Linked DNA regions of Pelodiscus sinensis. The protein of the gene in region 1 purifies or fractionates together with the protein of each later gene. This does not show direct contact. Links are inferred from orthologs where the notes say so. Each region holds a gene or a part of one and is shown on either strand. Other genes may lie near its edges.

Region 1 (10,678 bases):
CACCATCTGTTAAGAATAGATGGCCTACACTGGAAGTTATTTATCTCACCTCAGTCCCTAGTGTGCAGTGGGGAATGGACAAGTGATATTAAAACAAATCAGGCTGGAACCCACACAAAGCAAATGAAGGGAAATAAAGAACATAGACATAAAAGGAGACATAATAAATACTATGCCAAGCTAAGGCCCATCAAAAAGAGATATGAGTAAGTAAAAACAGAATTTTAGTTTGTCAGTCAAAAAAGAAAAGATCCAAAAGAAAAGAACTGGAAAAATCATTGCACTCAGGTATCAGCTCAACAACAGACCGTCCTACTCTTCTAGCCAGGATCTAACTGGAAACCCTCTCCTGCTTCATGCTTAGAGACAAGCAGAACGGCTGTGACCCCTGAATAAGAGACATACACTGCTGACAAGTTACACACATGAATCGATACACCCTAAAGTGATAGTTACACTAAGGGTGTTAACTAGCAGTTCACTGACTAATTGAGTAGTTGATGGAATTTCAGACTAGTCAGATTAAGAATTTCCATCAACTACTCAATAGGCACTTCCGCATGCAGCCCGGGGCCAGCAAGAAGTCCTGCAGACTCCGGGCTGCACAAGGTGTCAGCTTTGAAATGTACAAGAGTACCTAGCGGGGGCTCTTGTGCATTTCACAGAGGCAGCACAACATGGAGCCAGAGTCAGCTAGGGAGTCCCCAGCTGATTCCAGGTTCTACGGAAATGCTGCACTGGAGCACAGGATCAACTGGGGAGTCCCCAGCTGACCCCGGGCTCCATGTGCAGTGCCACACAGCTGAGCCAGGGATCAGCTGTGCAGCCGCTGCGCACATGGAGCCTGGTGTCATCTGGGGACTCCCCAGCTGATCCTGTGCTCCAGTGCAGCATTTCCAAGGAACCTGCGGTCAGCTGAGGAGCCTTGGCATTTCAAAACAGCAGCGCCACACAGCTGATCTTGGGCTCAGCTGTGCGGTGCTGCCGCTTTCAAGTGCCGCTTTCCACCCCCCACCTCCCTTTGCTGCCTCTATTTAACAGAGGCAGCAGGGGGGACAGGAGGGAGATCAATTAGTCTTTAATATCCCTAAGTTGTACAACTTCAAAAGACAATGGGCAACAACTGTAGACTGAATTTAACACAAGCATTTTCCACTTTAACATTTCGGTAAGATTTTGAAACTAGGCATACATAAAATAGTCAAGACACCATTGAACACTTCAACTAAATATGAACTCAAATCATTCTTGATCTTCTTTGTAAACTCATCAGCTGTTCTTTCTTCCTCTTTTGAAAAGTGTAACATTTGTTTCACTCTATGATGTTGAGCCTCATTTATAGAAGAAGGAACTGTATGAACAAAAATTCTCAAATGAAGATTTCCTAATTTCAATACCTAATTATGGTATGTCTCTCTCAATATGGAAGCTATAGTTTCTATCCAAAGAACAAAGTGTCATTGCTCTTCATACCTTCATAAGATGTATCTATATTAGCATTTTCCCTTAAACTAGGTTTCCTACTACTGGTCAGCAACATTGCCTGTCCACCAAAATTTTTATCACCATATATCCACTAATCTTAAGAACACCAACAGCTAACCTACATTAGCTTTCTCACCATTATTACTAACAGAAGAGTTAAATCTATAGTAGTAAAAACAATGAGAAATCATGTGGCACCATAAAGAATTTGTTTGGGCATAAGTCTTTGTGGGCAAAAATCCATTTAATCAAATGCAAGTAAAGGTGCAACAGGACTCCTCACTATTTTGGCAGATACAGACTAACGACTATCTCTGGAAAAACTTAAAAAACAACAAATAGTCTAGAAGCACCTTAAAGACCAACAAAACATGTAGATGGCATCATGAGCTGTCATGTGCACAAGCCACTTCTTCAGATGAATAGTTATTAAAGGTCCAGTTCCAAAATAAATGGGGGGAGGGGCAGAGAAGGAAGTGAAAAAGAGGGAAAGTAGTATTAGAGTGTACACATTACATGAAGCTGATAGGGAAGGAGGAAATTGATCTTAAGTACCCATTGTTTGGTTTTTTTAAGTCATTAGAACATGGAAGGTAGTATGCTAGCCAGGTAGTGTCTTTATTCCTAACTTTATGATGGCTATCCCTCTGAGACGTAGCAATAGTAGTTTAATAGTAGGAGATTTTAAAAAAAGCCAGTGCAGACAAGATCCTAATAGCTCTTCATACAGAAAGGAGGAAGGGGGGTTGGGTTATGGCTGGGTCTTGGCTAGTTAAGTAAGCCATCTCGGGAGGGGGGGGGGGGGGAGAGGAGGGAGGAAGGAAAGGACCAAATCTGGTAACAATAGCTAACAATCTTTCCTTCTGAATCAATGTAAAGCAATATTCCAGAGGAAGGAGGCAAAGCACTTATAAATCTTCATAAGGAAACTTTCCAATCCAGTTTAAAAGAGATACAACTACATGAAGAAATATTTTAAATAAACATTGAAAGTGGTTTGGTTTCTTCTTGAGAACTATAACTTTACAAGAGACAAAAAACATATAAAAATCCTTGTTTAATAGCTTCCAGCTTAGCTTTTATGTTTTTAAATAGGATTTATTACCCACAATGTTTTAGTTATTTGTTCATCTGAAGGAGCTACTCTAAGAAAATGGAATTTGCAAACTAGTCAGATTAAGTAGGTTGGTTGTAAAGAATGATTCAGAACATGAAATATTCATCAATAAAAAGCAGACAAACTAGTTTCCATGTATGGCTAAAGAAACAAATGCTGTTACAAAACAATCATCTCTAGGCATTAGTTCAAATCCCAGGTTCTCCTAACCCCCTGACATTTCTGAATTAGGCACCTGTTGCCAAAATAAGACATTTCAAACAACAGATGATACCACTGCTTTATAAAATGTTGCCAGATGTACTCTGTTTTTTTCATAACTTAAAGAGAAAGCACAGCTAAACATAAATCTTTGCTGGGAAGCTCACTTAGAAAGAATAGAAGAATTAATTCAACAGTTACAGCTGCACTACAAAAAGAACTTCCTGGGGGAAAAAAGGAAAAATAAATTTCTAGCTAGATACTCCTGGAATAAAACAGAACACAGAAAGGAGAGTTGGCCACATTTGGGAAACCTGTGACTATTCCAGCTTGCCTTCAAAAATCCAATTTCAGATTGTTTTCATTGTCTATCAGTCAGAGAGCAGCCGTCAATGTTTCTTTGTGTTCTTTTTCTCGTAGCAGTCTGTGGTACATCGTTCATAAAGGGGAAGGAACCTCTTGTTTGCATATATTGAGGTACACAGCGCCCACCGAAGTGACAGGCAGAGCCGTGAACAGAAAACAAACAACGGGAAGAGGGTGCGTATGTGACAAAGAGAGAAGAACCTACTTTCTGCTGAAGGGGTGGGAAGCCGACGTAACAGCTGCTACCCGCTTCCCAGCATCGCGGAGACTCCCACAGCCCCTAGACACAACGAGACGCGACTCCCGTTTCCTGACCGCCCCCAATTCATTCATGAACCAAAGAGAGAGAGACGAGGCGCACACGCTGTACAGGGGAGGCGGCTCAGCTCGGCTCCGCTCCATTCACACGCGCCGCTGAAGGCTCCTCATCCGCCCGCCCGCTCTATTGTCTCTGCCCCACGCGGCTCACGCAGCCTGCCGGCCCCAGCCCTCGTGGCACAGCACGACGGGTGGTGGCGGGCTCGGCCACCGGTTACTGCGCGGCTCTGCGGACAGACGGGGGGGGGGGGGGGAGACTCAACTCACCCCCCACCCCGGGCCCTAACGGGGGGAGTCGGACAGAGGAACCCCACGTGTGCCGAGGGAGCCGCTCGGGGCGGGACAGGAAAACCCGGAGCGGGCCTCGGAGAGCGAGGGGCCGGAGCATCGTCACCAGCTCCAGAGCGTCCCCCGCCCCCCCGGCTCACGCCCGGTCCCGGGGTTTGGGGGGGGGGGGGTCTCCTCACCTCCATGTCAGCGTCACTCGCGCCGACAGGCGGCGCCCCCGCGAGCTCGCCGCCGTTGCTGGTGGTTGCGGAGGAGGGGGCGGTGCCGGCGGGGGACAGGGTCTCATCCGGCGGCGGCTCCTGCTGCCCGGCGGACATGATCCCGGCGCGCGCGCCCCGCAGACAATGCCGGGCCGGGAGCCCGCTCCCGCCGCGCCCGTTGGGCGGGGAGAAGAAGCGACCCCTGCACGCAGCGGCGGGCGGGACGGGCTAGAGAAGGGGGGGGGGGCGCCGCTCGCAGACTCCGCGCCGAGGGGATTCCCCCCTCCCTGTCACTGCTGCCGCCCCGGCTTTCGCAGCGCGCTCCCCACCAACCAGGAACCAACCGAGCCGGCTTCCAACTCTCGCAAGAACTCCAGCAGGGAGCCAATGCGCCTGCGCAACGAACACGTCTCTGGTTGGGCTCCCACGAGGTGCGGCGAGCCGGCTACGACAGAGGGAGGCGGGGCCGCGCTCGCGCGAGGAGTTGAGCCGGGATAACCGCAGACTTATTGCGTCACTACCTTCCCATTCTCTCGCCGCTTCCCCGCGCTGGGTACAAGGAACGGCGAGGCGGAGCCTAACTGGAAACCCCGCCCCTAAGCGAGCGTCACACCTGGGAAGGTTCAGTTTGGGACACTCGCTTGCCCGCGTGCCGCCAGCCAGGCCTTGCGAGCAGCAGGCTGCAGCCGCCCGGCCCGTGTGCCGGGCGCGCCTCCTTCAGGGGACACGTTGATTTTTACATATTTAATTTTACACTCCCGCTTGCTTCGGGTGGTTGATGGTCTGAGGGCGGTTTTGCTGCCAGGCACGTGGTTAGCGACCTTACCTAGAGCAAGCCCGGGCTGCTAAAGACTAGTCCACTACCCCATAAGAATTTATTGGACAGCCTTTTGCCTAGTAGTCAGCTAGCGGTAGCAAACGGAGCGGTAGCGAAGGGGGAAGGGGGAAAGGAAGGGGTACGTCAAAGTGACAGCACTGCCCAGCTGTGCAATGGTGCCACTACACCGCTGGTCTGCAGATCAGCTGTGCAGCAGCTACCCCCTTTGAAATGCCTCTGTGCCTTTCAAAGGGGCAGGGGAGCCCAGGCTCAGCTAGGGACTACCCAACTAAATCCAGGCTCACCCAGACACTGCCCCAACACCCCGAGCAGGTTCCAGGGAAGTACTGCACAGAGCCAAGGCCAGCTGGGGAGTCCTCTGTTGACCCCAGGCCATGCTCGATCAGGCCCTTGGAATGGACTCTATTGTTTTCTTTCATAGGTACCTATGTAGCCAGGTGAATAGGGAGATGCTAACACTAGAAATAGATATATTAGGAACACAGTTGGAAAGGGAAAGAGAATTTCAATTACAGGAGAAAATGAAGAGCCATTGGATCCAGGAGCCACATACCACACCGATAAGGTTTTTAAAAGTAAAAGTAAAAGATGAAAAAATGAAGCAAGCAAAGAAGTGGAAAGGGAAGAGATTAACAAACTGGAAAAGATCTCCATAACAAAGAAATGCATGAGAGAATTAAAATTCAGTTCAAAGTAGCAATGTCAATACCAAAAGAAAACTCATATTGAGAGCAGAAGAGGCATTAAGAGACTGTTGTCACAAGTCAGGAAACAAGCCAGACACAAAAAAAAATAGGACAACACATAAACCTGCACAAAATAATTGAAAAAAACCCCTACCTTATCAATAAAGCCCTATGCAGAAACAAAATTTGTATCTACATCTGTATCCGCAAAAATGAGCGGAGGATGGATAGACACAGATATAAAGTGGATATTCACAAATTTGCAGGGTTCTAGAAAACTAAATTTTTATTTTCATCCATATCTGCAAAAACAAGCTGCGGCTACACCTGTGGATATCAAGCAGATATCCACAGATTTGCAGGCCTCTATTTATTAAGATATTTATTTTTCCAGAGAGAACTGAGCAATAACACAGCATTTGTAAATATGCAGAATGGAAAGAGTAGTTCAATTAGCTTTTCTTTGTGTGAAAATTCCCAGGCGATGCTTCCTGTTTCATTGAACACTTGTTTTTATTTTTTTTTTTAAATAAGGAAAACACATACGGTATATGCTGCTTTAAAAGATCCTATTAGGTGAATAAGAACATTATTAATGTTCAGTGTCTGTAAAACTGTTTATAAGCTATAAAAAAAAAAAGATCAAAAGTGAAAGCATAACTTGATGGCCATATCACTCTGAACACACCTGATCTTATCTGATTTGAAGAAACTGAGCACTGGTAAACCTGGTGGATATTTGGGTCAAGTAAACTTGTGTAGGTTTACTTTCACAGAATATGGTAGTCATCTCAAAGAATATTTTCTATTCTCCTCCTCCAAGTAAAAGGTGAGGCAGAAAGAACGTAGAAAAAGATAGCAATGGATGTTTATAAGACCTCCCATTTTATAAAAAGGAATCACAGTTACTGTCTTAATACTTTGTTTTTCCCTTCTTTCCAGATAATATAAATCACAAATCTTCTAATATTGTTTTTTTTCCCTAAAGTTGGTCTACAAAGTGTTCCAGTTTTTTTAACAGCTTTTAAAATCCAGTTCTTGGAGAAAAAAATGGAAATGGTATGATTGTCTATAACTGGGGAGAAATGCTGTACTCTGTAAAAGGGGGATAGTCTTTATGTGTCAATATCAGCCTCCCCTCCTCACGATATTTAAATTCCCTTAGCAAGTCCCTTTCTTAGTTTTACTTTAGCATGCTTTAGTGGAGAGCCGACACATTGTCCCTGCTTCCTTCATAAGTTTGAAAGGAAGGACCCCTTCTTTTAAGTTTTTAGATAAATCCTGGCCCCACTGAAGTAAGCACTGGTCCCAGCAAGACACTTGAGCAAACAAGCACACTGGTCCCAGCAAGACACTTGAGCAAACATGATTGGGCCTGTTTTAATACTATGCAAATCACTATCTCCATGATCCAACAATACTTATTCCATCCTCAGGAGATCAGGATTTCTACAGATCACAGTGCTGAAAAGGCACATGTATTTATTGGTATTACTGTGTCTCAGTTACACCCAGCCAGCTGAGATACTGTTTCACAATATCAACACTGCTTGAAACCCAAATTGTGACGCCATCTCTCTCTCACCCAAAACCAAAACAAAATCTGCTTATCGTATGTCCATTTCAACAATTCAGTGGAACTATGTTAAAACATAATTGACTATACATACTTAATTGTTCATATGTGCTACTAAATTTAAGTACAGTAAGCACTATACTGGATTTATTCAAGTTATAGCATAATGGTGCTTGCAAAATGTTTCATACAAAATGAATAGCATTAAGTATGTTTTTAGTGCACACCCTAAATGTAATGAACTGTAAGTTGACCATATGTAGGGCTGTTTGCGCAATACAGACTCTAAAAAAAATACCACATGTAGGATAATTCCAGCTTTAGTAAACTTGACCCTAAAAAAACCCCATATAATACCTGACAACATATCTGTGTCAAACTTCACTTCAATGCAACTTCAAGTGAAGTAAAAGAACAACATATACCTATGTAGTATCAGAATCTGGACATCAGTTTATTTTTTTTTAGAGTTCCTTGGAGAATGAGTTTCTGTAACTGATGCTGTCTCTTGCTGAACAAAAATCAAAATGAAAAAGATGCTTCTTTTTGTTTTTATTTACCACACTTCTGTGACTGAAAAGCCTCATATACCATGCATATTTATATGGGTTCAATGCAAACACATATCTTATCCTCAAAATCCTAGTTGTAGAATGAAGCCTGATTTCTCTCTGATCAGTTCTTGAGTGACATTGTTTCCTGGCTAAGACTAGAAGCCATCAGGTTCACCTAAAAAAAAAAATCATTTAACTGTGTGACATTGGGCAAGTCACTTGACCTCCGTGTGAAAGTCAATTATGGGTTGAAAATAGGGTATAAAATTGGTATTAAATTGGACTTTACTAAAAGCAGGTGTTGCATATGAAAAAAAGCTTCTAGTACCCTGCTTCTGAGCACTCATATATATGCAGGTGGACTGCTGCATCCACACAGAGCACCAATGACTTCAGGGGAACTCCAGATCTGCCTGTGCCTATAAACTTGTAGGATTGAGGCCTACATCATAGCATTTTAATCTAGTTTCCTCGGTTTTCATACCTTCACCAAGCAAAACAGTTTCCTTCTGAATCATAACCTGGGGCTAGATTTTTAAAAAGTATTTATGTCCCAAAAGGTTTAGATGGATGCCAAGTAGGATTTCCAAATTGCCTAGGCACCTAATTCCACTGACTCCAAGATTACCTAGTTATATGTAGGTTATGTTTGGGTTACATACCTGAATTTTTCATATGAGCTTTATATTTATCCACAATACAGTAATTCCTTTGTTTCTGTAAAAATGCAAATTATTGGTTCATGTACATGTTCTAACTCCTTTTTACATTAACAATTGTTTTAAATAATAATGTGATAGAGCTTTGGTGATTCTTTAACATGTTCATGAGAGTTCTGCTCTCTCTGAAGGAAAATGAAGTAAAAAAGTACCTATTTTCAAAGTCATTGCTTTTCAAATATGACAGATTTTAATTTTCAAATACAATTAATAATAATTTTTAATGATGTCCAAAGACTCAGGAAATCAGTGTGACCTCGACAGATGTGCTATGTCTACAGGAAAATATTTCACAAGCAACATAATGTACTAAGTTCATTAGAATGTGAAAGCAGGGGACTTGAAAATGTGTAGCCAAAGCTGACAGGTGAAGGTGTGACAGTGCTCATACACAGTTTCAGAGAAAGATCACAATCTGACACAAAAAATAAGAAGGCATCTGTAATGAAGAGACTGCATTGTCAGAAGAATAAATGGTAGTCAGCTAAGGGTTCTGAAAGATATTTTTAAAAAGGCACCACTTTTGTTCCCATTTCATTACATGCGGAATATTAATCACAAGTGTGAGAAGTGAAGATGCTACTGAGGATATGCAGTATAAGTGAAATTCTAGCTAGAAGACTTAAAAACGGGGTATAGAGCTTGTGTAGGCCCTCTCCACACAGGGCAAATTTTGCTCTACATAATGAACAGCACTCTTTCTGAAGTTTACCAAGTCTTTAACTATTGCCTACTTGGAGAAGCCAGGAAAGATTCCTGGAGATATAGACCAGGAATATAGTTCTACAAGACACTCTCAAGTGTAAATATAGCACAGATAATTCCCATTTTGAGCAACCACTGGCACAACATAGAAAATTGAATTGAGTTTACCAATCCTTAGCTGAAATGTGTGCATAGAAGTCTTTCAATGTTTTCCCCCAGTCAATATAGTAGAAATCAGAACCCGATCATCAATTGAAAATATTACAAATAATTTCCCCATTCAAGTAAAGAAAACATGCTTGAGTAAGTTGGATGCCAGGTTTCCTGAATTTCAGGCCAATGGATTTTTCCACGGAAAAAATCCCTCCTCCTCATAAATAAAATTCAGAGCTACTTTAAATTATATACAGTATATAGTTCATTCATGAAACAACAGGAAAAAAAAAAGAGAGGAATTAATGCATAAGAGTGTTACACATGATCAGAGGCAGTATAGCCAGCAAAGTCTCTAGCCCTACTTAGACTATACAGGCAGTCCCCGGGTTACGTACAAGATAGGGACTGTAGGTTTGTTCTTAAGTTAAATTTGTATGTAAGTCAGAACTGGTACATATTGTAGGGGAAACTCTAGCCAAACATTTCTCCAGAGCTCAGTTTTATTCTTCCACACCTCACTTCCCTCAGTCCTTTATTCTCAAGCTGAGGTGTCTGCTGAGAAAAGCCGCTCAGCGTCTCCCTGGTCTGCTCGGGGGGGAGGGGGGTGCTAGCTTCGCTTCTCCCTGGTCTGCTGGGGGGAAGCAGCTGGTGTGGGGTTGCCTCATCCCGTTTGTAAGTAGGGATCCGATGTAAGTCGGATCCATGTAACCCGGGGGACTGCCTGTAATTTCTTTGGAGCAGGGATTGTCTTTTTTGTTATGTGAATGTTTTAACATAAGAACTAGGGGGTCACCAAATGAAATTAATAGGTAGCAGGTTTTAAACAAACAAAAGGAAGTATTTCTTCACGCAACTCACAGTCAACCCGTGGAATTCCTTGCCAGAGGATGTTGTGAAGACCAGGACTTTAACAGGGCTCAAAAAAGAACAAGATCATGGAGGTTAGGTCCGTCAATACTTATTAGCCAGGATGTATAAGAATGGTGTCCCTTGCCTCTGTCTGTCAGAGGCTGGAAATTGGTGACAGGGAGGGGTCATTTGATGATTCCCTGTTCAGTTTACTCCCTCTAGTGCATCTGGCATTGCCCACTGTTGGAAGACAGGATGCTGGGTTACATGGACTTTTGGTCTGACCAGTACGGCCGTTCTTATGTTTTTCTCCAGTGCCTCACACCATGGGATCCCGGTATCTGCTTGAGACTCCTACACTTTATAATGCAAATAACAATAGATGAATATATCCTTGTCTCCATGGCATATTTTATCCTATCCTTTTAAAAAAGACTGAGTATTGATTAATTTTGCTTCTCCCTTTGCTATTAAGTAAAACCTTTTTGAATGTTACCGTGTCTCCTTTGTTAAGCTGGACAAAGCTCTCGAGAGATCATCAGTGCCCCTTCTGGCATTGGTCACAGGGTTTCTCTCAAGCAGTTCTGTCTGGTGGGCTGAGCTTGCTGCTTCCAGACTGC
Region 2 (10,785 bases), on another chromosome or scaffold:
AGTTTTTCTGCAAAAGCAGCTGCTTTTGTGGAAAAACTTGCCAGTCTAGACGCAGCCCAGATGTGGCCTCACCCCTGTGCTTAACCTTTATTTTTTTTTAAATCTCCTTCCCTATTTCAGGAGCGAAGTTCCCCATTAAGTGGACAGCGCCAGAAGCCATTAATTATGGGACGTTCACCATCAAGTCTGATGTCTGGTCATTTGGAATCCTCCTGACCGAGATTGTCACCTATGGCCGGATCCCTTATCCAGGTTAGGACTTCACAGCAGCACCGCGTACATTAGGGATGCAGCTGATTAAAGGGGGCCTGGGCGTGGAGGGGGGCGGGTTGCTCCATTCCCGCTGGGCTGGAGCGCTCCCCCTCTCCACCACAGCTGGAGGCTGCTCCGGACGTTGGAGCAGCCGCTGTCTGTGAGGCGTCTGGGCCCACCGTGGGCAGGGGCTGCTCTGGATGACTGGAACAGCCCCTATCTGCAGAGAGCCTCCCAGCGGGACTGGAGGGGAGCTGCTCCAGCCCCCACTGGTTAACAGTTAACTGGAACGGGTAAGCGTCACCTGTTAATGGTGATACTTGCCAGTTAACCTTTCACATCCCTAGCGCACACACATGGGCCCATGACCCCTCTCTACTGATGGGATGGTTTCGTTCTGTGTATCTCTTTGGGCTACAAATGCCGGTCCATCACCCACATAAAATTGACAACAGTAGCTGGAGTCGTGACTGAACATCTCGGCTACGTCTACACTGGCATGATTTTCCGAAAATGCTTTTAACGGAAAAGTTTTCCGTTAAAAGCATTTTCAGAAAAGCACGTCTAGATTGGCAGGATGCTTTTCCACAAAAGCACTTTTTGCAGAAAAGCGTCCGTGGCCAATCTAGACGCGGTTTTCCGCAAAAAAGCCCCGATCGCCATTTTCGCGATCAGGGCTTTTTTGCAGAAAACACTACTGTGCTGTCTACACTGGCCCTTTTGCGCAAAAGTCTTTCGGAAAAAGACTTTTGCCCGAACGGGAGCAGCATAGTATTTCCGGAAAAGCACTGATGATTTTACAGGAGATCGTCAGTGCTTTTCCGGAAATTCAAGCAGCCAGTGTAGATAGCTGGCAAGTTTTTCCGCAAAATCAGATGATTTTGCGGAAAACCTTGCCAGTCTAGACACAGCCCTCCTGTGTCCCTGCATCTCCCAGAACGGGGTGTGGCAGGGCACAGTGAGGAGGCTCCCAGCTGTTCCTGTCCCAAACTGGATCAGCCAGAGGTGGGGCAGGGAAAAGGGCAGGATCACGGCTGTGGGGCAGGGCAGAGCGACACCTCTCCCAGCATTGGGCTGTGTCCACTGCACCCTGATTCGGTCGTCCCTAACTCAGGGCCATGTGTTCTGACCGCAGGGATGACTAATCCGGAAGTGATACAGAACTTGGAGCGTGGCTACCGAATGCCTCAGCCTGACAACTGCCCGGAGGAGCTGTATGGACTGATGCTGCACTGCTGGAAGGAGAACCCAGAGGAGCGCCCCACCTTTGAGTACATGAAGAGCGTTCTCGAGGACTTTTTTACGGCCACAGAGGGCCAGTACCAGCAGCAGCCATGAGGGGACCCTGAGCAAGGGGCTGGCAGCATCCTCACTTTGGGATGTAAGGGAGGGTGGGGGGGGGGAACGGTCCGGGTGCATGAGCTCCTCAAAGACTCACACAGCTCAGCCCTGGGCTTTCGGATCAGAGCTTAAACCTGGCAGAACCCTCACGACAGTGAAGATGTGTCCATGTTCCTGCAGCACCCACACACGCGTGGCAGATCCGTCTTGATTCTCAGAGCCGGGGCGCCGTGTGTCTCACGCACGCCGGCAAAAGAACTGCACGGCCCTGAGGGCTGCCAGGTTTCACCCACAGGCTGGAGCGCCCAGGCAAACTCCGCGGGCACACGTGTCTGCTCACAGCGCTGCCCGGGGGCTCACGCCATGCACACGCACCCCACAGGGGTGTGCACCCGGGCAGGAATCACAGAAACGGGCAGCTATGCAGATGCACACAAAGGCTTAGGCGTGGGGGCGCACCCCCTTGCCCCCCTCCCGCTGCAGACACATGGGGACATGCCGTGCACGTCCAGCTGAGAGCTGCCCTGGATACAATCAGACCCATAGCAACTAAAATAACAGTTTTGCGCCAGCATGAGACAGACGCCAAGTTCTCTCTCCTCGGGCATCGGGGAACACTCAGGACCCGCCACCGATTGCACTGGAACTAAAAACCCCTTCTCAGCACTGATCTTCTGGAGGGAGAGACTCAGAGAGCTGCGGTGTGGAGCACCCCACGCCCCGCCCTCCCATCCCTCCCCTGTGTTCCCAATGCTGTATTCCCCCAGGGAAGATGGATGGATTAATCAGGGTCAAGGGGTTTTGCATGGAGCTGCCAGCCTTGGAACTGGGACCTGCTCACGCTCAGGGCTGTGATCAAAGCGTACAAATCGATGGACTCCCCCACTGTGCAACATAACCCTCTTTGCGCCAGAGCCAGACGGTCTCCGGGACACCCCCGAACACGACCCAGTGCCCACGAAGCTGCTGCTCCCTGCCCTGCGCTCTTGCTGATTTTCACTGTGAAACCACATGACTCTGAACAATGCCTGTCACGCGATGGGGTGTGCGAACAGAAAATAAGCACGGCCAAACTGGGTCAGATCAAAGGTCCATCTAGCCCAGCATCCTGTTTGCCGACTGGGGCCAACGCCAGGTATGAACCAGAGGGAATGAACAGAACAGAGAATCAGCAAGTGATCCCTCTCCTGTCGCCCATTCCCAGCCTGACAGAGGCTAGGGACACCATCCCTGCCCACCCTGGCTAATCGCCATTGATGGACCCAGTGCTTTTTTTGTTTTAAAAAAAAGGTGCTGGTACTACAGGGGAAAAGTTGTTGAGCTCTGACTAGAGGGGCCGGTACTGCGTCTGGAGGTGCCAGTACTGCATGGCAGTACCATCCCCAAAAAAGCATTGGCTGGACCTATATACTCCATGAATTTATCTAGCTCTTTTTGGAATCCTGTTAAAGTCCTGGCCTTCCCAACATCCTCTGGCAAGGAGTTCCACAGGTTGACTGTGCGTTGTGTGAAGTATTATGTAAGAACGGCCAGACTAGATCAGACCAAAAGTCCATCTAGACCAGGATCCTGTCTTCTGACAGTGGCCAGTGCCAGACACCCAGCAGGAGTGAATAGAACGGAGTCATCAAGTGCTTTCTCCATCACTCATTCCCAGTTTCTGACAGAGACTCGTGACATCATCTCTGCCCATCCCATTCTCCATGAATTTATCTAGTTCTTTTTTGAACTTCCTTTTGTTTGTTTTAAACCTGCTACCTATTCCTTTCATTTGGCGACTGCTAGTTCTTATGGTATGGGCACAAGTCAATCACTTTTCCCAGAGCCCTTCCAAACGTTTGGTAAAACCGCCACCAAGTGCAACCATTGTAGCCAAGGGAGAGAGGAGCAAACCAGCAGGCGGAGAAGGAGACATTTCAGCTCAGACTGCAGCTGACCTGATGAGTCAGGGAGTGTGGAGAGGTAGAGGAGGCTGTTTCACCTGGCAGGAGCTGCAGAGGTGAAATCTCTTCTGTTTTCTCCGCACCGTTGACCGTGACATTAGTGCCCTGAAAAGGGGATCGAGACAGGCTCAAACCACAACATTTAGCTCCAGAAGGGGGGCTCAGAATTCGACCCCAGGCTGGGCTGGCAGGTGGTGGCTCTAGAGTGGACCCACACCTACCCTCGGGGGTTCTACATAGTCCCCCAAAAAGGCTTGTGGGAGAGAAACCTTCTCAAGTCCCTGGAACGAGCCTCTCTGAATGACCAGCCTGTGAGGACTCTGATCCCCCCCCTGCCCTTGTATTTTAAAGCCCTGTCTTGTGTTGCTCTTTGATTTTCAGTAAACAAACACCTTTCGGTAAACGGCACCCGTGTCCTCCACTTGAGGGGGTGGGAGGGGGCGAGCTTGACATTGGGTGTATACAGAGGTGGAGGGGGGGCTCCTGGCTCTCCTTGAAGATGCCGAGCGGCAGAGGAGTGGCCCCTCTCTTCTGCCGCGGGGGCCAGTCGTGCAAGACCGTTCCAGTGCCGCGCGGGCGGGATCCGAGCCCCGGGCGTGGGTGGATTTATTTGTGTGGGGTGGGTGGCTCAGCACGACACAGAATCAGGCCCGAAGCAGGGCGATGGCTGACCGCAGGGAGCTGTGTGTGCTCACAACCTCACAGGGGGAGCCCAACCGGGCCAGGCCCCGAGTCAGGCCCAGTGGGATGGGAGTGAGGGCGCTGGGCGGGGGTGGGGGCCTGAGGAAGCATTCGGCAGAGGGCGAGGGGCACACTTGGCACTAGCTGGGGACGGGCAGGGGGCTCAGTTGGGACAAACTTAACACCTAGCAGGGTGAGAGGGGGGACTTCAGACAGTGCCCAGTAAGGGGTTGCTGGTGTCACAATTTCTGGCAACCTCCGCCAGTAGTCACCCTGTGTGATCTATTTTAGGCTTCAGGCTACCAATTATCACCTCTCTATGGTGGAGACCTGCATCTCATCCCTTCCTGTCCAGGGATTTTAAACTACACTGCTCCCTGGCTTACATATTCCCAGCAAGCCAGGCTGCCTAGCAGGCCAGCACACTATGCTTTGCTTTCTCTCTAGGAACTAGGCCCAGTGTATTGCCTAGAGGTGTAGGTAGGTTATCACCCAGTTCTGGCTAAGCCAGCACATTTATTCTTAAGGTAAAAGCACTACAGTACAGCAAAAACACATTAATAAAAGAAGCTATGTGCAAGCTAGAAAGTCTGCTAGAGGTCACCCCCTCCCACTCCAGCCTAAGGCTCTGGCAGGAGTCTGTCCTTCAAAATCCACAACTGAATGTTTCCTGCAGTTACAAGTTCATGTCCAGAGATCCAGAACTGGAACCTAGGCTGGGCTGATCAGCTGTGTCTGTATGCTGCGCTCACCTTTGCGCTTGGCCCTCTGTAACAGGTCAATCCACAGACACTTACCCTTTCCTCAGAGGCTACGTCTACATTGGCAAGATTTTGCGCAAATAATTTTAACACAAGAGTTTTTACGTTAAAGTATTTGCGCAAGACAGCGTCTACACTGGCATGTGCCATTGCGCAAGAGATTTGCAAAAGCATCCATGCCAGTGTAGACGCTCTCGCGCAAGAAAGCTCCGATGGCCATTTTAGCCATCAGGCTTTCTTGCGCAAGAAATTCATGTTGCCTGTCTACACTGGCCTCTTGCTCAAGAACAGTTGCGCAAGAGGGGTTATTCCTGAGCAGGAGCGTCATAGTTCTTGCGCAAGAAGCGCTGATTTCACACATTAGAATGTCAGTGTTCTTGCGCAAGAACTCCCTGCCAGTGTAGACAGACAGAATGTTTTTGTGCAAAAGCGGGTGTTTTTGTGCAAAATCATGCCAATGTAGACACAATCAGGGTGTAAAAGGCTGTTTTTTGCATAACAAGGATTGGGGAATTTGTATTAAGCTTTCCCTAGGGATTCCCAGGAAACCCACTTAACACATATTGTCTCCACAATTCATGTTTGTTCAGCTCATTTTCAATATCGTCTTTTGAACTCCCAAGTGTCACATTTCTCTCTCTCTCACACACACACACACACACACACACACACTGAAACATATTTTGGGGGGATTAACAAAAAAGTCTTGCAAGGGTATAGCACAACTGGCATGTGGCAGAAGCTGTGGTGACACTGGTCAGTCCCTAGGTGAAAGAGCTGGGTTGTGACATGAACAAATAGCTGCCTCATTTGCACAGACTAAGGTGAGGACAGCAAGTGTGAAAAATCAGCTCACTTTTTTCCACGGGTGCAGGGGATTGTGTATTATTGAAGCATCTGGTGGCGATGGTGGTCCCCTGAATGCATCCCCCCACCAATGTTCCCTCTAATCTTTCCCATCCATGTGTGGATTTTTTCCATTCATGTGTGGAATACATTTTATGTGCATCACCAGTAGAAACAAAACAACTAGATCTGGGTGCTCTGCTAATCAGCTGGGCAGCACTGGAATCTCTCCAGAACAGCTGCGCAACTGCCCATCTTACAGAGACCACTGCCCCCCATGACCCCAGCCCTACCCCCACCTGGGGCAGACATAATGTCCCCTCCCCTACAGTCATGCTGGCCCCAGTGCATTCTGGGACTTCTGCTACCTCCAGCCCATTGCAACCAGGCCTATGGACATGCCTGGCCCCTGGGCGGTGCACTGTGGGCTGGCCCTAGCAAGGGACTAGAATCTAGATGGGAATGTCTTGTGCAGCCATGTGGCACGTGATGTCATAGCAGCAGGGGTCAAGTGGTTTAGTCCTTGCTGCCCAGACCACCCCTCTTGTGAGAATAGGTCAGTCCTTTCAGCCCAGATTCCTCTCCTGGGGGAATGATACATTTCTGTCTGAACTCCCCTCCCATTCTCTGAGGAATGGTACTTTTCCTTTATCTCTCTCCCCCTCTCCCCTCCACCAGTGGTAAACTCCTGTCTGTTTAGACCCCCCCTTCTCCGGGAGTGGTGCCGTCCTGCCAACCCGTTTGTCTTTTTCTCCCCCTTCTCTAGAGTGGTACAGTCCAGGAACACTTGCGCTCTACCTACCGTGCTAATGCCGCCACCCCGACCTACGTCACTTCTCATTGGCTATTCCTCAGGAAGTGGGTACAAGCCACTCCCCGATAGGCCGGCTGCCCCGCGCGGGGGCGGGAGGAGCAGCTCGCGGGGTGCTTGGCCCCCGGGGCGCGTTCGGTTGCGCTGCGGGAGGGTTTGGTGCGCTCGGGCGGCAGGAAAATGGCGCTGACACAGGGGACCAAGCGGAAAGTCTGTTACTACTATGACGGTGAGAGCCCCGGGCCGGGCCCCGCGGGGAGACACGGGGATGGGGGGCGCTGTGGGGGGAGGGGCGAGGATGGGGGCGCTGTGGGGGGAGGGGCGAGGATGGGGGCGCTGTGGGGGGAGGGGCTCGTGGGGGAGGGGTGGGGATGGGGAGCGCTGTGGGGGGAGGGGTGGGGATGGGGGGCTCTGGGGAAGGGCTCGTGGGGGGAGGGGCGAGGATGGGGGCGCTGGGGAAGGGCTCGTGGGGGAAGGGGCGAGGATGGGGGGTGCTGGGGAAGGGCTCGTGGGGGGAGGGGCGGGGATGGGGGGTGCTGGGGAAGGGCTCGTGGGGGGAGGGGCAAGGATGGGGGTGCTGGGGAAGGGCTCGTGGGGGGAGGGGCGGGGATGGGGGGCGCTGGGGAAGGGCTTGTGGGGGGAGGGGCGGGGATGGGGGGCGCTGGGGAAGGGCTTGTGAGGGGAGGGGTGAGGATGGGGGGCTTTGGGGAAAGGCTTGAAGAGGGAAGGGTTAGATGGGGGGGTGCTGGGGAGGGGCATTGGGGAAGGGCCAGGAGAGAGGTTAGGGATGAAGAGGGTGCTGAGGAAGGGTCTAGAGGGGTGAGGATGGGTGCATACTGGGGAAGGATCTGGGGTTCTGGGGAAGGGTAAAGAGGGAGTGTTGGGAAAGGGCCTACAGTGAGGGGAAGATGAGGCAAGGAGGGGTGCTGGGGCAGGGCCTGGGATGGGGGCAAGGAAGAGGAAAGGAGGGTGTGGGAGAAGGCTCACCAGGGGGTGAGGATGAGATGCTGAAGTGCCCTAGGCTGCTGGAGAAGGGTCTGTGGGGAGGTGTTAAGATACTTTTGAATACTTTCGGATCTATACTGGTAATATCAGTCAGCACAGTTGCTTTTTTTTTAGTTGGTGAGATTCTGTGGCCAGGGTTATTGTGTAGGCATTAGGTATGGCGGGCAGTGTTTTGTGTGTGTGTTCATTCCATGACATTTCCCCAAAAGTTGGGTGTTACCCTGGTTGGAATTTGGCCAGGGCAACAGGGCTAATTCAGTGGGAGAATTGGCAATTGCTTCCTCTTATTGTGGGGCTAGGAGGTATTTGTAGCGATCATTCAGGCATCTTAGTATGGTTTATTTAAGTGTTCTGCTCCATCAAATATATATCGGGGCTTTTATTTCTTCAATACAGTACTTGCAACATTAGGCCCTGGTTCCAAAATGAGATCCACTCCTGCCTGGGCACAATGCCCTACTGATTTCAGTGGAGTGCTAGATGGGGGTCAGCCCTGGCAAAACTTGTTGCTGTCTTTGGTTCGGCCAGTTACCATTATACCACAAGTCTGACTTCTCTTGTCACCAACAGCTGATCTGTGCGCTTGAGGCATGTTAGACATAAAATCAAAATATTTGTGACCCACATTAATGCCCCAAGGTTAAACTTTGTGCATCCTTCAGGGTTCCTGGAAATACAGGTTTCTGGTGGTGATATTTGTGGGAATGCTGTACCTGTCTGAGTGATTGTCAGATGGTGAATGAAAGCTCTGTCTGGGGTTCTCATTGCCCCTTCAGATGCACAATATTTGCACATGTATTCACACACAGGTGATGAACTAGGGTTTTGTCATCATGGACACAAAGGTGACATTTGTGTTGGTTTTTATTCATTTTGGTTTTTACACCATGATGATAACATGGCCTTAGTTACAGCATTGTAAAATACAACGTGGTGATGAGGCATTTGTAATTTTATCACAAGGTAGTGAGGGAAAGTGAGTGTTATAGCTCCTCACCACCTGCTCATGCTTAACCTAACAATAAAACTGTGGTGCTTGGTTTCCACCTGTTTGGTTCAGCAGGATAGGTAATGCTTGGAGGTCAGTAAATATAAAGACTAGCATGCTGGTAGAGTACAGTTTGTAATAGCGTTTTAGGGGATGTCTACGTAGTGTTTAAAAAAAAAAAAGTCTCTTGACTTAGGTTGTTTGGATTAAAATAGCAGTGAAGACCTGGCAACTCAGGTTAATAGCTCAAGTCCAGCTCCAGACTCTCTGTAGACTTTAACTTGAGCCCATAACACAATATAAAAGCAGAGTTGCTATGTCTTGACTGCTATTTTAACCCGGGGCATGACAAGTAACCCAAATTAAGAACACACCTTTTCTGCAGTGTAGACATGCTCTTAGAGGACACCGAATTCCCACTGCTTATGAAAAGAAATGGTAAATAACTTGGTTTAGCAAAATAGACTTCAAGATAGACTGGCCAGTTCAAACCACTTGTAAGTTGCACGTGACCAAGTTGCAAGTTTCCTGGACTGTTATTAATGTGGTGTTTAAATATTGCTCTCTACCATATGTTCCCTAGCTAGTCCCTAAAGTAACATAGGACTCCTTGTTATTTTAGCATCTTCCAAGTCTTTTGGGACTTGTTAATGCTTGGAATTAACCTAATTCTCAGTGTTGGTACCACTGCATCAGCATTAAGTTCTATTGTAGACAAGGAAGGCCGCGGTCTCCCCCAGTTTCAAGCAGATTAAAACTGCACCAATGCAAATTGTGATTTTTCTCTGTCTACACAAGGAGAAATGTAGCGAAGGCTTCAGTCTTTGCAGGGGCAGTGAAAATTACTCCTGAATGTTGAGATCCATGATGAAACATTATATACTCCCAACTGAGTCACTGCTAGGCCAGATTGCCTCTCTTACTACTTAGGGTGGTTTGGGGTTGTGAAACTACTTGACTCTTATTTTTTGTCATTGTTGAGTGTGAATCACCTATAGGATAGGCCTGGATGCACAGGAAAGCACTGATATACAAAATCTTATTTTATGATCCCAATTATTTTAGTTCATCTTCACAGTGCATTGCAGGCATTAACTGTGTTCGCGCCATGTGCACCGGTGAGATAGGAAACAGGAAGCATTGCCATTTTACAGATAACGAAGGTGAGGCAGATCTCTAAGGCTATGTCTACACTCACGGCTTCTTGCGCAAGAACATCTTGCGCAAGGGTTCTTGTGCAAGAAGACTTCCACACTGCCATGTGTGAGCTGTGCTTTTGCGCAAGAGCGCCCATGGCAGTGTGGACACTCTTTTGCGCAAGAAAGCTCTGATGGCCATTTTAGCCCTAGGGCTTTCTTGCGCAAGAAATCCCTGCCGAGCGTCCACACTGCCCTCTTGCGCAAGAGGGCTTACACCTGTTATAAAAGAGCGTAGCTCTTGCGCAAGAAGCCCTCTCTTACCACGCCGTACTGTAGATTTCCTTGCGTAAGAGCGGGCGGGCAGTGTGGACGCTCTGCGGATTCTTGCGCAAGAACGTCCATACTTGCGTAAGAAGCCGCAAGTGTAGACATAGCCTAAGTGATTTGCCTGAGGCTCTTAGGCGGCTGAAGAAATTGAGAGTTCCTGCCTCCAGTCCAGTGCTGAGGCTACACAGCAGAGTTTCTCAAGGAGACTTGTATCTTCATTAGCACAAGATCACCCTAGAGAAGATTTCTAATATTGGGAGATGATGCCATTAAAGGACAACTACAATAAACTTCCGATAATCCGGCACCTTTAGGACCCAGGAGGTGCCGGATTATCAGATATGCCGGACTATCAGAAGGAGGGGCTATGAGGGGTCTGGAGTGGGGTGGGAGGGGATGCCACCCCAGACCCTTCATAGCCCCCCCTCACGATAGTCTGGCTCTACCCCAGGCGTCCCTGATTCAGCCGCTGCTGGTCAGTTTCAGCAGCAGCTGAATCGGGGATGCCTGCAATAGAGCAGCTGGGGTGCTGCCGGGTTGGTCCCGCAGCGCCGAGGGGTGGTGCTGCAGCGCCGAGGGGTGGCGCTACAGCACCAACCCGGCAGCACCCCAGCTGCTCTTGGGGACACCTGGGGCAGAGCAGCTGGAGTGCTGCCGGGTTGGTCCTGCAGCGCCAAAGGACGGCGCTGCC

The links.
Region 2: the proteins of SMARCA5 (region 1) and HDAC1 fractionate together in Homo sapiens (co-fractionation; 3 studies listed by BioGRID). This does not show direct contact. The link is inferred for Pelodiscus sinensis from reciprocal best matches to the Homo sapiens genes SMARCA5 and HDAC1.

Annotation. Positions count from the first base shown.
Region 1 is NC_134715.1:41,841,011-41,851,688, forward strand, and holds the start of SMARCA5 (SWI/SNF-related matrix-associated actin-dependent regulator of chromatin subfamily A member 5), read right to left. Parts: upstream 4,363-10,678; 5' UTR 4,093-4,362; coding exon 3,955-4,092; intron 3,544-3,954; exon of another isoform or gene 3,375-3,543; intron 1-3,374. UniProt on the Homo sapiens protein: ATPase that possesses intrinsic ATP-dependent nucleosome-remodeling activity.
Region 2 is NC_134735.1:3,685,462-3,696,246, forward strand, and holds the start of HDAC1 (histone deacetylase 1), read left to right. Parts: upstream 1-6,702; 5' UTR 6,703-6,815; coding exon 6,816-6,864; intron 6,865-10,785. Other genes in the region: tyrosine-protein kinase Lck, read left to right, coding at 121-252, 1,388-1,590. UniProt on the Homo sapiens protein: Histone deacetylase that catalyzes the deacetylation of lysine residues on the N-terminal part of the core histones (H2A, H2B, H3 and H4).